3 linked regions of the Nothobranchius furzeri genome follow. The protein of the gene in region 2 binds, or shares a complex with, the protein of the main gene of each other region. Links are inferred from orthologs where the notes say so. Each region holds a gene or a part of one and is shown on either strand. Other genes may lie near its edges. The genes, in order: ciao2a, mms19 and ciao1.

Evidence for each region.
Region 1: mms19 (region 2) and ciao2a share a complex: the UniProt entries of both Homo sapiens proteins name them as parts of the CIA complex. The link is inferred for Nothobranchius furzeri from reciprocal best matches to the Homo sapiens genes MMS19 and CIAO2A.
Region 3: mms19 (region 2) and ciao1 share a complex: the UniProt entries of both Homo sapiens proteins name them as parts of the MMXD complex. The link is inferred for Nothobranchius furzeri from reciprocal best matches to the Homo sapiens genes MMS19 and CIAO1.

What each region holds. Positions count from the first base shown.
Region 1 is NC_091744.1:55,351,639-55,355,294, forward strand, and holds the end of ciao2a (cytosolic iron-sulfur assembly component 2A), read left to right. Parts: intron 1-2,683; coding exon 2,684-2,784; 3' UTR 2,785-3,197; downstream 3,198-3,656. UniProt on the Homo sapiens protein: Component of the cytosolic iron-sulfur protein assembly (CIA) complex, a multiprotein complex that mediates the incorporation of iron-sulfur cluster into extramitochondrial Fe/S proteins.
Region 2 is NC_091756.1:28,167,440-28,171,095, reverse strand, and holds part of mms19 (MMS19 nucleotide excision repair protein homolog), read left to right. Parts: coding exon 1-71; intron 72-174; coding exon 175-252; intron 253-1,818; coding exon 1,819-1,957; intron 1,958-2,057; coding exon 2,058-2,212; intron 2,213-2,289; coding exon 2,290-2,368; intron 2,369-3,606; coding exon 3,607-3,656. UniProt on the Homo sapiens protein: Key component of the cytosolic iron-sulfur protein assembly (CIA) complex, a multiprotein complex that mediates the incorporation of iron-sulfur cluster into apoproteins specifically involved in DNA metabolism and genomic integrity.
Region 3 is NC_091757.1:37,107,788-37,111,804, forward strand, and holds ciao1 (probable cytosolic iron-sulfur protein assembly protein ciao1), read right to left. Parts: upstream 2,588-4,017; 5' UTR 2,351-2,587; coding exon 2,212-2,350; intron 2,085-2,211; coding exon 1,936-2,084; intron 1,852-1,935; coding exon 1,740-1,851; intron 1,663-1,739; coding exon 1,574-1,662; intron 1,498-1,573; coding exon 1,302-1,497; intron 1,222-1,301; coding exon 1,152-1,221; intron 1,083-1,151; coding exon 851-1,082; 3' UTR 651-850; downstream 1-650. Other genes in the region: snrnp200 (U5 small nuclear ribonucleoprotein 200 kDa helicase), read left to right, coding at 68-217; tmem127 (transmembrane protein 127), read left to right, coding at 3,313-3,550, 3,647-3,811, 3,885-4,017. UniProt on the Homo sapiens protein: Key component of the cytosolic iron-sulfur protein assembly (CIA) complex, a multiprotein complex that mediates the incorporation of iron-sulfur cluster into extramitochondrial Fe/S proteins.

The sequences.
Region 1 (3,656 bases), on a different chromosome or scaffold from region 2:
GGCCCTCCTTCCAATAAAGGCCTGGAGCTTGATGAGCTTGAGTCAAATACAGGCCCGGGCCTGTATTAGAGGATTTACGGTATATGTATATACATATACGGTATGCTTGAGTCAAATACAGGCCCGGGCCTGTATTAGAGGATTTACGGTATATGTATATACATATACGGTGAATATGTGTATATATATATGTATATGTATGTATATATGTATATATGTATATACATATATATACACATATTCATATATATATATATATATATATATATATATACATATATATATATATATATATATATATATATATATATATACATATATATATATATCACGATAAGAGTCGTCTCAAGGCACTTCACATAATAAGCATTCCAATTCAGGTCAGTTCTTTAAGCCTATGAGAAATAATGTTTCGTATATAAGGAACCCAGCAAATTGCATCAAGTCACTGACTAGTGTCAGTGACTATACAGCAATCCTCATACTAAGCAAACATAAAGCGACAGTGGAGAGGAAAACTATATATATACATGTATATATATATATATATATATATATATATATATATATATATATATATATATATATATATATATATATATATATATATATACAGTTGTGGTCAGAAGTTTACATACACTTGTAAAAAATATAATATAATGGCTCTACTGAGTGTCCCGTTATTTCTAAAACTGATTTTTCTCTGATGGAGTGATTGGAACAGATACTTCTTTGTCACAAAAAACATTCATGATGTTTGGTTCTTTAATGTCTTTATTATGGGTTAACAGAGAAAAGTGATCACATTTGCTGGGTCACAAATATACATACAGCAACATGAACTAGCAATTTTGGTGACAGAAACGTGTCAGTGAACTGAGCTTCATAGCATGGCCTCTTAACTTCTTGTGAGTGATTATGAGTGACTACAGCTGGTGACTTCTCTTAGGCCAGGTAAATAGGGCTCATTGGATACAAACGCCCACAAACGCTACAATGGGAAATTCAAAGGAGCTCAGCATGGATCTGAAAAAGCGAATTATTGACTTGAACAAGTCAGGAAAGTCACTTGGGGCCATTTCAAAGCAGCTGCAGGTCCCAAGAGCAACAGTGCAAACAATTGTTTGTAAGTATAAGGTGCATGGCACTGTTTCATCACTGCCAAGATCAGGAAGAAAACGCAAGCTATCACCTGCTGCTGAGAGAAAATTGGTCAGGAGGGTAAAGAGTGAACCAAGAATCACCAAAAAGCAGATCTGCCAAGAATTAGAAGCTGCTGGAACACAGGTGTCATTGTCCACAGTCAAACGTGTTTTGCATCTCCATGGACTGAGAGGCTGCCGTGCAAGAAGGAAGCCCTTGCTCCAAAAGCGGCACCTTAAGGCTCGACTGAAGTTTGCTGCTGATCACATGGACAAAGGTAAGACCTTCTGGAGGAAAGTTCTGTGGTCAGACGAAACAAAAATCGAGCTTTTTGGCCACAATGCCCAGCAATATGTTTGGAGGAGAAAAGGTGAGGCCTTTAACCCCAAGAACACAATGCCTACAGTCAAGCATGGTGGTGGGAATATTATGCTGTGGGGCTGTTTTGCTGCCAATGGAACTGGTGCTTTACAGAGAGTAAATGGGATAATGAAGAAGGAGGATTACCATCACATTCTTCAACATAACCTAAAATCATCAGCACGAAGGTTGGGTCTTGGGCGCAGTTGGGTGTTCCAACAGGACAATGACCCCAAACACACATCAAAAGTGGTAAAGGAATGGCTAAATCAGGCTAGAATAAGGGTTTTAGAATGGCCTTCCCAAAGTCCTGACTTAAACCCCATTGAAAACATGTGGACAGTGCTGAAGAAACAAGTCCATGTCAGAAAGCCATCAAATTTAACTGAACTTCACCAATTCTGTCAAGAGGAGTGGTCAAAGATTCAACCAGAAGCTTGCCAGAAGCTTGTGGATGGCTACCAAAAGCGCCTAATTGAAGTGAAAATGGCTAAGAGACATGTAACCAAATATTAGCACTGCTGTATGTATATTTGTGACCCAGCAAATGTGATCACTTTTCTCTGTTAACCCATAATAAAGACATTAAAGAACCAAACTTCATGAATGTTTTTTGTGACAAAGAAGTATCTGTTCCAATCACTCTATCAGAGAAAAATCAGAGTTTTAGAAATAACGGGACACTCAGTAGAGCCATTATATTATATTTTTTACAAGTGTATGTAAACTTCTGACCACAACTGTATGTATATGTGTATATATATATGTATATACATATACATACATATTTATATATGTAGATATGTATATATATATATACATATATATAAATGTATATACATATACACACATATATATATAAATGTACATATAAATGTACATATATATGTAGATATGTATATATATATATATATTATATGTTATATATAAAACAAAACAATAAATTCATGACTCCGCATTGGTTTCAAACACATGTATTAGAGTTTTGCTGCTACCACCACTTCCCCTCTCAGGCTGCCCCACAGCCACGCCCCCTCCCGCCTTGCTGGCTCCTTGAAAACAACTTTGTTTTTTAACTCTGCTAGCCCAGCTGATTCAGCAGTTTGTTTGTGTTACTGATTTTTTGGTGCTTTTTCACTAGTCTCATGTTCTGAGTGGTGAAAATGATTAATTTCTCCAGTTAATAAACAGATCAACGATAAGGAGCGGGTGGCAGCCGCCATGGAAAACCCCAACCTGAGAGAGATTGTGGAGCAGTGTGTCACTGAACCTGATGACTGAAGGGCCCAATGCTACATCAATAACTTTTTTAAGTGCGTGTGCATGAGTGAACACATGGAGGAGGTTGGATGCTGGAATCAAGTCCAGCCTTTAAAGACAGCAGCACCAGTTGTTGCTGGTGAACAGCCTGGTGTTCCAGAAGAAGGTGAATAAAGGAAGAAGAGAACACACCTCCTGCTCTACTTTTATCTCTCAACTTTCTCTCCATCATTCCTGCTGTTCACCATTCATGTTTAATCAGAACAGAATAAAAATGGCTGTTTTTCATTGCATTGACTCCTATTAGATCTTTTGTAATTCCTCAGGTGATTACCTCTAATTTGATTTCAGAGTCTGGATGTTTAGGATGGGGTTTTATAAACAGAAATGAAATGCAAATAAACTCAGAATAAAATAATCAGGTTTGAATATAATCCTGTCTCCTGTGTATTTGAATCAGAGTAAGTGTTTCAGCAGTGCTTCCTACAGATAAAACGTTATTTTGCACACATCTTAGGTTTATTTATTAAGCACTTTTAAGTGCTTCTCAGACAAGAACAATAAAACTGATACAATGATCTTAGAAATAACTATCTCACACACACCCATTAACATCACTCTTAACCATATAAAACAATATAACATTAATGTCAACATATATTTTCTCTGAGTGCACACACAAACACTGATTATACCTCCACAGTAATATTTCATACAGGTCACACGAGCTGTAATGAGCTTTTAACTATCAAGTACAAAATGATACCAGCCAGGTTTTAGTTTGTGTACCACTCTTCAAAAAGCTGATTTGGATTGGCTGCATGTGTCACTGTAGCATCACTTGATCTCTACATTTATGGGATGCAGTGTGTTGATGGATAAAATAATGGGCA
Region 2 (3,656 bases):
TGTTGCCACTCATCATTGAGAAGATGGACTCGGACATTCAGAGTGCAAAGCTGGATTCACTGCAGACTCTTGTGAGACTGACTACAGCCGCAGCTTAGAGAAGAATAAGCTAAAGTAAGATGAAATGTGACTTTTATGATGATTTGTCATCTCTTTATATTTGATCTGTTTCAGGCTGCTTGCGGGTCAAAATATGATCACAGAGACTTGGCTGAATTCCTCCAGGGACTGTGGACGTCACTGCGCAGAGAGGTCTGTAGTGTTTTACAAAGTTTGAGCCGTTTTAGTTTAACCCTGGCTTTCCAATGGATGCATAACCATTTTAGCCATGAGCACCTTTCCTACTGGGAGTGTTTCAGGTGCAAACAGCAGCAAAAGAGCTCCACACAAATGGTCCGCAAAGTCACTGAAGGACCGGAAATTGCAAAACCACACATTAGATTTCAGATAGATGGCAGCATGTATCCGAAAAGGTCTGTGGTTTATTTCCTGTTTGCCTCAGCTTTGGAGGTGTTACAGGTAATGACGTACTTTTACTAGTTGATCAACTGAAAATCTGCAAGTGACTTTTATTTTGAAAGTTTCTGGATGTTTTACCCTGCTTTTGTTCAACTTCCTGTCTGACCCGATCTGAACTGCTGAGCTTGACATGTTCTGGAAGCGTAGTGTATAAAAAAAATTGAAGTATTCACAGCATTTCTGGGACGCTTTGCGGCCGGTGGAAACACCCATCCACTATAACAGCGGCTAATTGCTTCGTACTACACTTCGCTGACGTTGCGTGACGCTTACACGTCTGGTGGAAAGGCCCGGTGAACAACCCTTTTTTTCCACCCATTCAATGCTGCAAAAACTATAATTTAACCTCTCACATATTTATTTTTTTTCCCTTTTTGTCCCACATAAAAGTTTCAGATCAGCAAACACATTTCAGTGTCAAAGACAACCTGAGTAAACACAAAATTGAGTTTTAGATGATTTTTCACGCTGCCATCCAACCAGACGGGGGCTGGGCAATAAATTCAATATTTATCATTATCAAAATTTCGACTTTTATCATGATCGTTTTTTCCACAATAATAATGATAATAAAAAATGAAAAAGGTGTGTGTAGGTTGGCAATGTCCCTTTAAGATGCTGTACCACCTTGAGTCATGTAAAAATGTGACTCAACATAATGCACGTGACGATATATGGTGATGTTGATTTTAGGCCAAATTGCCCAGCCCTAAACCAGACTGTGCCATAAATAGTAAGTAAGTACATTTTTTTTATATATAGCACTCATCACAGACATAGAAACACAAAGTGTGCTTCACATAAAACAAAGTCATAAAATCATAATGATCTCAAAACAGAAATAGATTGACATCAGAAAACATAAAATTATAAAATTTCATAAACAGAAACAAAAGCCCCATTCCCACCTGTACCGGGTCGGCCCGGGCCGGGTAGCATAGGTTGTTTACATATCTGGGTGGCCTGGAATTTTCCCGGGCCAACCAAGGCTCATTCTCGGCCCTCTTCCCGAGGGGTACTGCTTCAGGCCGACCAGGGCCAACACGCCCACTGCTGACAGCAAATTCACACCTTCCATTAGAGCAAGCCTCTGATTGGTGGGTAGAATCAGCCCACATGGGCTTAAGGCAAGGATGTGTGGAATCAACCGGGCCAGGCTGGGGCCGACTGGGGCTACCCGGCCCGGGCCGACCCGGTACAGGTGGGAATGGGGCTAAATAGAGACGTTACTGTGAAACCCAGCCTCTTCACTGGTGTGTGTGCTCTCAGTACAGCCCCGTCTCCGTTTCCTGCCTGCAGGTGTTTCAGACATCCAGTGAGAAGATCGAGTCAGCAGCCCTCACCGCTCTCACCGCACTCACTTCCTGTCTGTCTCGCTCAGTGGTGAACTCTGATTCTGAAGACACCCTCATCACCCTCCTGGATCTGGTTCTAACAGGTGAACCAGTTCTTTAAAACGAAGGCTCCTTTTACAGGCAGGGTTTCATTAAAACCGTCTAATTAACAGCAGTGCAAACATCTTTGTGACATTTTCCCAGACTGTAAACATCATCTGTGCGAGCCCGACCTGAAGCTGGTATGGCCCAGTGCCAAGCTGCTACAGGCTGCCTGCAGCGCCTCCAACAGGGCGAGCCACATCATAACAGCTGCTGTCATGCCCTCTCTCATCGAGCAGTACAACAGCAGAACACAGGTCAGACCGAGAATCCGTAGTCATGTGTAGAGCTTTGCTGTTGTCATGGTTACTGAGTCATAAGCTTCTCTTAACAGTGTTCTCATAGACGTACGTTGTTGGAAGTGGTGCAACGATTCATCAAGTCAGTGAAAACAAACACGTCTTCAGATACCGGTGAGTTCATCATTCCTCTGATTTAAAGTTGAAACCGAGTTTATTTCATTCAAATAACAAACACTGATAAGACTCTTGAATTTTCACAAAGTAATCACTAGATTTACTCTTTCAGCACCTCGTGATTCACTTTGATTATAGGTCAGAGGATTGCAGTGTGATTATTATTCAGGCATATTTCCACCCCTCCCACCTTTTTATTGTCAAATCGATGTATTTGTACAGACCCAAAAAGAGTGCATCTCCAATAGAGCTGTAATTGTGGAGAAAGATCTGAGCAATAATGTTGATCAAGTAACTGAAGAGTTACTGCTCGCTCCCATAAAGGAGGATCAGTTTTGGATGCACTAGTCAACCCTGCTGCAACAACGAGCTAACACTAAGTGAGCCACAAAGTAAAAGATCCACCCTGTTGGACAAAAAATATTATGATTTACAAGTCCATTAGCAACAAAGCCAGGTCACCATCAGTCCGTGATGTCGTAGCCTCCTTTAGCTCCCTCAGACTAGCGTAGGCTGCACCAAAGTTCACTCTGGTTTTAGCTCTTTGCTTCAGCTCCAAAGACATTTTTGCTCTCTTACTTTTACTTTCAGGGTCCTCCATGATGCCAACAGTAAACTGTTATTGCCATAACGGCAGATAGAGACCTCCCACTAGTGTTCCAGCCTGACCCATTAAACGGGTTCTGCTGGTTCTGGTCAGCAGAAGGCTGTCTGATGTGATGTGGCTGAAGTTTGTGGCTAAAGTACCACTGCAACCAGTTTGAAAGCAATGGTTTAGCGTGTTAAAAACCTTTTAGTGTTAAAATGAACAAAATCTGTTCTTATATTTAAATCAGTTCAGAAACATGGACATCTTCCAGGGATTGATGGGACTTAAATCGCATGATCAGGCTCAGCCATCTCACACCAGTGGCATGGATGTAATTTTCACTTTAGAGGTGGGGGGACACGGGGGAGTGTATCTACAGTATGCTCTAATGGGAAACAGGCTTCAACACAAACGGTTGTTTTCCGCTTGGTCCTAGAGCTCAACCAGTGTCAATTTAATATAATATATATATATATAATATTTTTGGATGGTAAAAAGTGCAGGGGTCAAAACTTGACTTTGGAAAAAGTGGGGGGGGGGGGGGGGCCCATCTCCCCCCCCCCCCCCCCCCCCCCCCAGATTACGTCCATGGCTAGTGGTCTGTATAAAGATGCACATAACTTGTACCCATCTCTGGTGTTTGTAGATGAGAGTGTGCTGTCAGCGTACAGAGCTGCTCTTTGCAGCATGGTGTTT
Region 3 (4,017 bases), on a different chromosome or scaffold from region 2:
GCAGAAATGTTCTCCCCTTCCCAGTAGAAGGCCTCATTTCCTGTTTTCTTCTGTACTTCCTCCACAGGTGAAGCTGGACTTTGTTGCACCTGCAGTGGGCGTTCACCACTACACCCTGTACTTCATGAGTGATGCGTACATGGGTTGTGACCAGGAGTACAAGTTCAGTGTGGATGTGAAGGAGGCCGACAGCGAGGGAGAAAGTGACTCAGACTAAGTTTTACTGAATACTGTGTTGTCTCCATTTGAGAGGGAATCAATGGGTGTGTTGTAGATATTCAACCTGATTTGTTTCTTTGAATTTAAACTTCTCACTTTTGCCCAAAGTATGTCAGTTTTTTTTAGTGACCCGATTGATGAAACAGTCCAAAATTGGTGTGCAGGATCTGTTTTCCGTATTAAAAATGAAATGCATGTTTTGGATTCAGCTGGATCCACTGACAATACTGCTTTAAATATGGGAAGCATAATTTTGTACTTTTCTTGTCAGGTTTGCTTTTTAAAATAAAAGATGCAACAATTTGGTTTCAGATTATGTCTAAAGTTACATTGCAGATGTAAAATGGTTTTCCCTAGATTAGTAAACATGTTTTTAAGAATCTATTGTCTGGCATGTTCTTTTCTTTTTATTAAAATGAAACCACACAGTCTTGTGTTTTTGTATTTATTCATAAACATGTTTGATTAAGCCATTTTTAAAAAGTGTACAAGATGAGCTGCAGCGGTTTTCCGATCACAAAAATTAAAACGAGATTAATCAAGCCATGAAATAACAGATGTGGTGCCTTAAAGATAAAGTTCCCAGTATGAGATCTAAAACCAAAAGCACTTCGGTGCATTTGTCACTGAATCAGTCTTCTTTGAACCTCCAAATGGCAAGTTCTCCATTGTCGCTGCAGGAGGCAAGAATTCCAGCTTCTTTCGGGTTCCAGGAAGCACAGTTAACGTCCTGGTTGTGAGCTTTGGTTACCTGAGCAACCAGCGAGAATACAGGTTCTTCTGGATTAGAGGTCACGTCCTCTCTGAAAACTCGAACTGCGTCGTCACCGCAGGCAGTTGCCAGGGCGCCAGTCAGCGGACACCTGAACAAATGGTGTTTAAGTCAGTTTGAAGGTAATTCATTCAGATCACTGATAGAAGTTCAGTCTTACCAGGACACATCATACACTGTTCGTCCATGATACCCAGACAGAGTGCAAACACACTTCCAGGACGTGTCACCTTTCAACATACAGAGCAGGTAAAAAAAAGGATTTGTTTGTAAATAAATGGCTTCGGTGTTACTGTTCATAACTACTGACCACTCTCAGAGGGATATTCTTTCCAAATCTTCACAGTGCGATCATCGCTGCAGGACGCCATCCTCTGTCCAGTTGCATCAAAGCACAAACTCCAGACGGTGGAGGTGTGTCCTTCCAAAGTAGCGCGACATTCCCAGTCATCGTCTTCTTCCTTGTAAATACAAATGTTGTTGTCGTAGCTGGCCGAAGCCAGGAGCTGAGGAAACAGACAATAACCTCAAAAATGAGAATGGAGCTACAGATGGAGATAATGTCTACAGATCTGAGTCTACCTCTCGGGTCGGGTGCCACGCTACATGCTTAACATCTTGTGTGTGAGAGTTTAGAACTGTGACACACTCATACTCATCTTCTTCATCCACTGTGGGACAGAGGGAAAACACCTATTAACCAGATCTGATCAAATTGTATTTATTACATGTGTAAATAAACACAAACCTTCCCAGATCCAAACGCTTTTGTCTCGACTGCATGTGGCCAGGAGGTTCCCTGATGGAGCCCACGCCACACATTTGACCTCATTTTCATGTCCCTCCAACACTGTCAAACTCTATAAAGACATTTACAAATGTGTCAAGTTCACGGTTAAATGCTTTTTTAATCACACCACTGAACAACAGAGGTCTCATCTAACCTCAAAACCCTCGTTATTCTTCTTCCAGATGCATGTAGTTGCATCAAAGCTGGCAGAGGCCAAATAATTTCCACATGGAGACCAGGCCACTTTCCTCACGGTGCGCTGGTGTCCATCCTCCAGCACACTCTTACAAACCCAGGAGTCTCCTACGGATAGAGGGGGTCACCGAGGTCAATAGATTAATTATTTTACCAACAGATAACTAATAATCAGAGTGTGTGTGTGTGTGTGTGTGTGTGTGTGTGTAAGAGAGAGAAAGAGATGACAGGCTACCTTCGCGTCCCCAGATCCGGATGGCCTTGTCCCCGCCACACGAAGCCAGCAGAGTCCCGTTTGGGCTCCAAGCGACAAACCAACACCGAGAGTCCGGGTGTGCGCTGAGCCTGTGAAGCAGCGTGAGAGTCTCCTTCATACTGACTTAATGACTATTAAATATTTAGTTAACAGGTCTCGTCACTTTTGTCTTTTCCTTCCCAGAAAAATCCGATAAGAAACTCAAACAAAACCCATCAAAGCAGCAGAGCCACTATCACTATTAACATATTTTGAGAAGATAAGGAATTAACTTGCAATAAAGAGCAAATTAAAGAAGTTCATAGAAACATCCACAACTGACGTGCCGCCATCTTTGCTTATCGGAAGTGCACACTGTGGGCTTCCGTCTTCCTTTAAAAACAAACTTAAATATATTTTTTTTAAATAAACGGAAACAAATTCAGTTGTCGTAATAAAATATATAATTATTCATAAAAAAAGCGAGATTTATGTATAAGATTTAAAGTCTATGGTAAATGCAGAGAAGTTTTCATCGTTGTGTAGTTTTTTTAACCGGTAGGTGGGGCTAGTGATCACAGGTTCTACTGTAGCTACGACGAAACCCGGTGGAAACAGGAAGTCAATGCTTTAGAGGAAACCAGCGTAAGCTGTCTTTTGTTTTGTTTTCTGTTTGTTTTTCTGTAACTAAAACAATATATTTTTATTTATTGTTGTTGTAAAGATTGGGTTCTAGGTTGGCGTTTATATGTTTTTTTTGTATTCGTTTTAATCCTGTCATAAGAATTTATTATATTTGACGTTTACTGCGAATTAGCTAATCGGGCTAACAGTACAGCTAACAGGCCTGAAGGCCATCTGTCTTTTGTTTCCTCGTCAGCCAGATCCTGTTTTTTTATCGAGCAGCTGGTTCTCGTACGGAAGTATTGTATATCTTTCATCTAACAAGTCGCCTGGACCGCTATCATCCTTTAACACTACAGGTAAAATCAGCTGTACCGACTGACAGCTGTGTCAGGCGGCTAATCCCAGTTATAAACCTTAAGGAAAAGGACAGACAAGGGAACCAACACTTCCTACAAAAACAGAGATTTGGTAATCATGTATGCTCCGCCGGGCTCTACCGTACCTGGTGGCCGGAGAAGAAGAACTGCCACCTCCCTGCCCAAGCAGCCGGAGCGCAGCCTGGTGTCAGCGCTGCCCGGAGCTTTGTCCATCACAGCGCTGTGTACGGCTCTGGCTGAGCCGGCCTGGGTGCGTGTTCATGGGGGCGCCTGTCCCAGGCAGGAGCTGGGGGTTGCGGATGTCTTGGGTTACATTGATCCAAAGCTTCTAGATGGTGAGAACCTGCACAATTACTTTACAACCAGCAATTATCGATCATTGTTTTGACTCGTAATGGTTTTTGTTTGTTTTGACGTTTCTGTATCCTCAGATTACTGTGTGAACCCGCAGACCATCCTGCTGTTGAGGGTCATAGCTGCCTTTTGTTTCCTGGGCATCCTATGCAGTCTAACTGCTTTTCTGTTAGATGTGTTTGGACCGAAACACCCTGCCCTAAAGATCACTCGTAGATATGCATTTGCCCATATACTCACAGGTACAAACCTTTCATTTACACACAAAACATTTTGCATATTTACCTGTGCTAACAGACTTCCTTTTCCTTCTAGTGTTGCAGTGTGCCACAGTCATAGGCTTTTGCTACTGGGCCTCAGAGCTGATCTTGTCCCTTCAGCAGCAGCACAAGAAGTACCACGGTTCACTTATATATGTCACTTTTGCTATCAGCTTCTACCTGGTGGC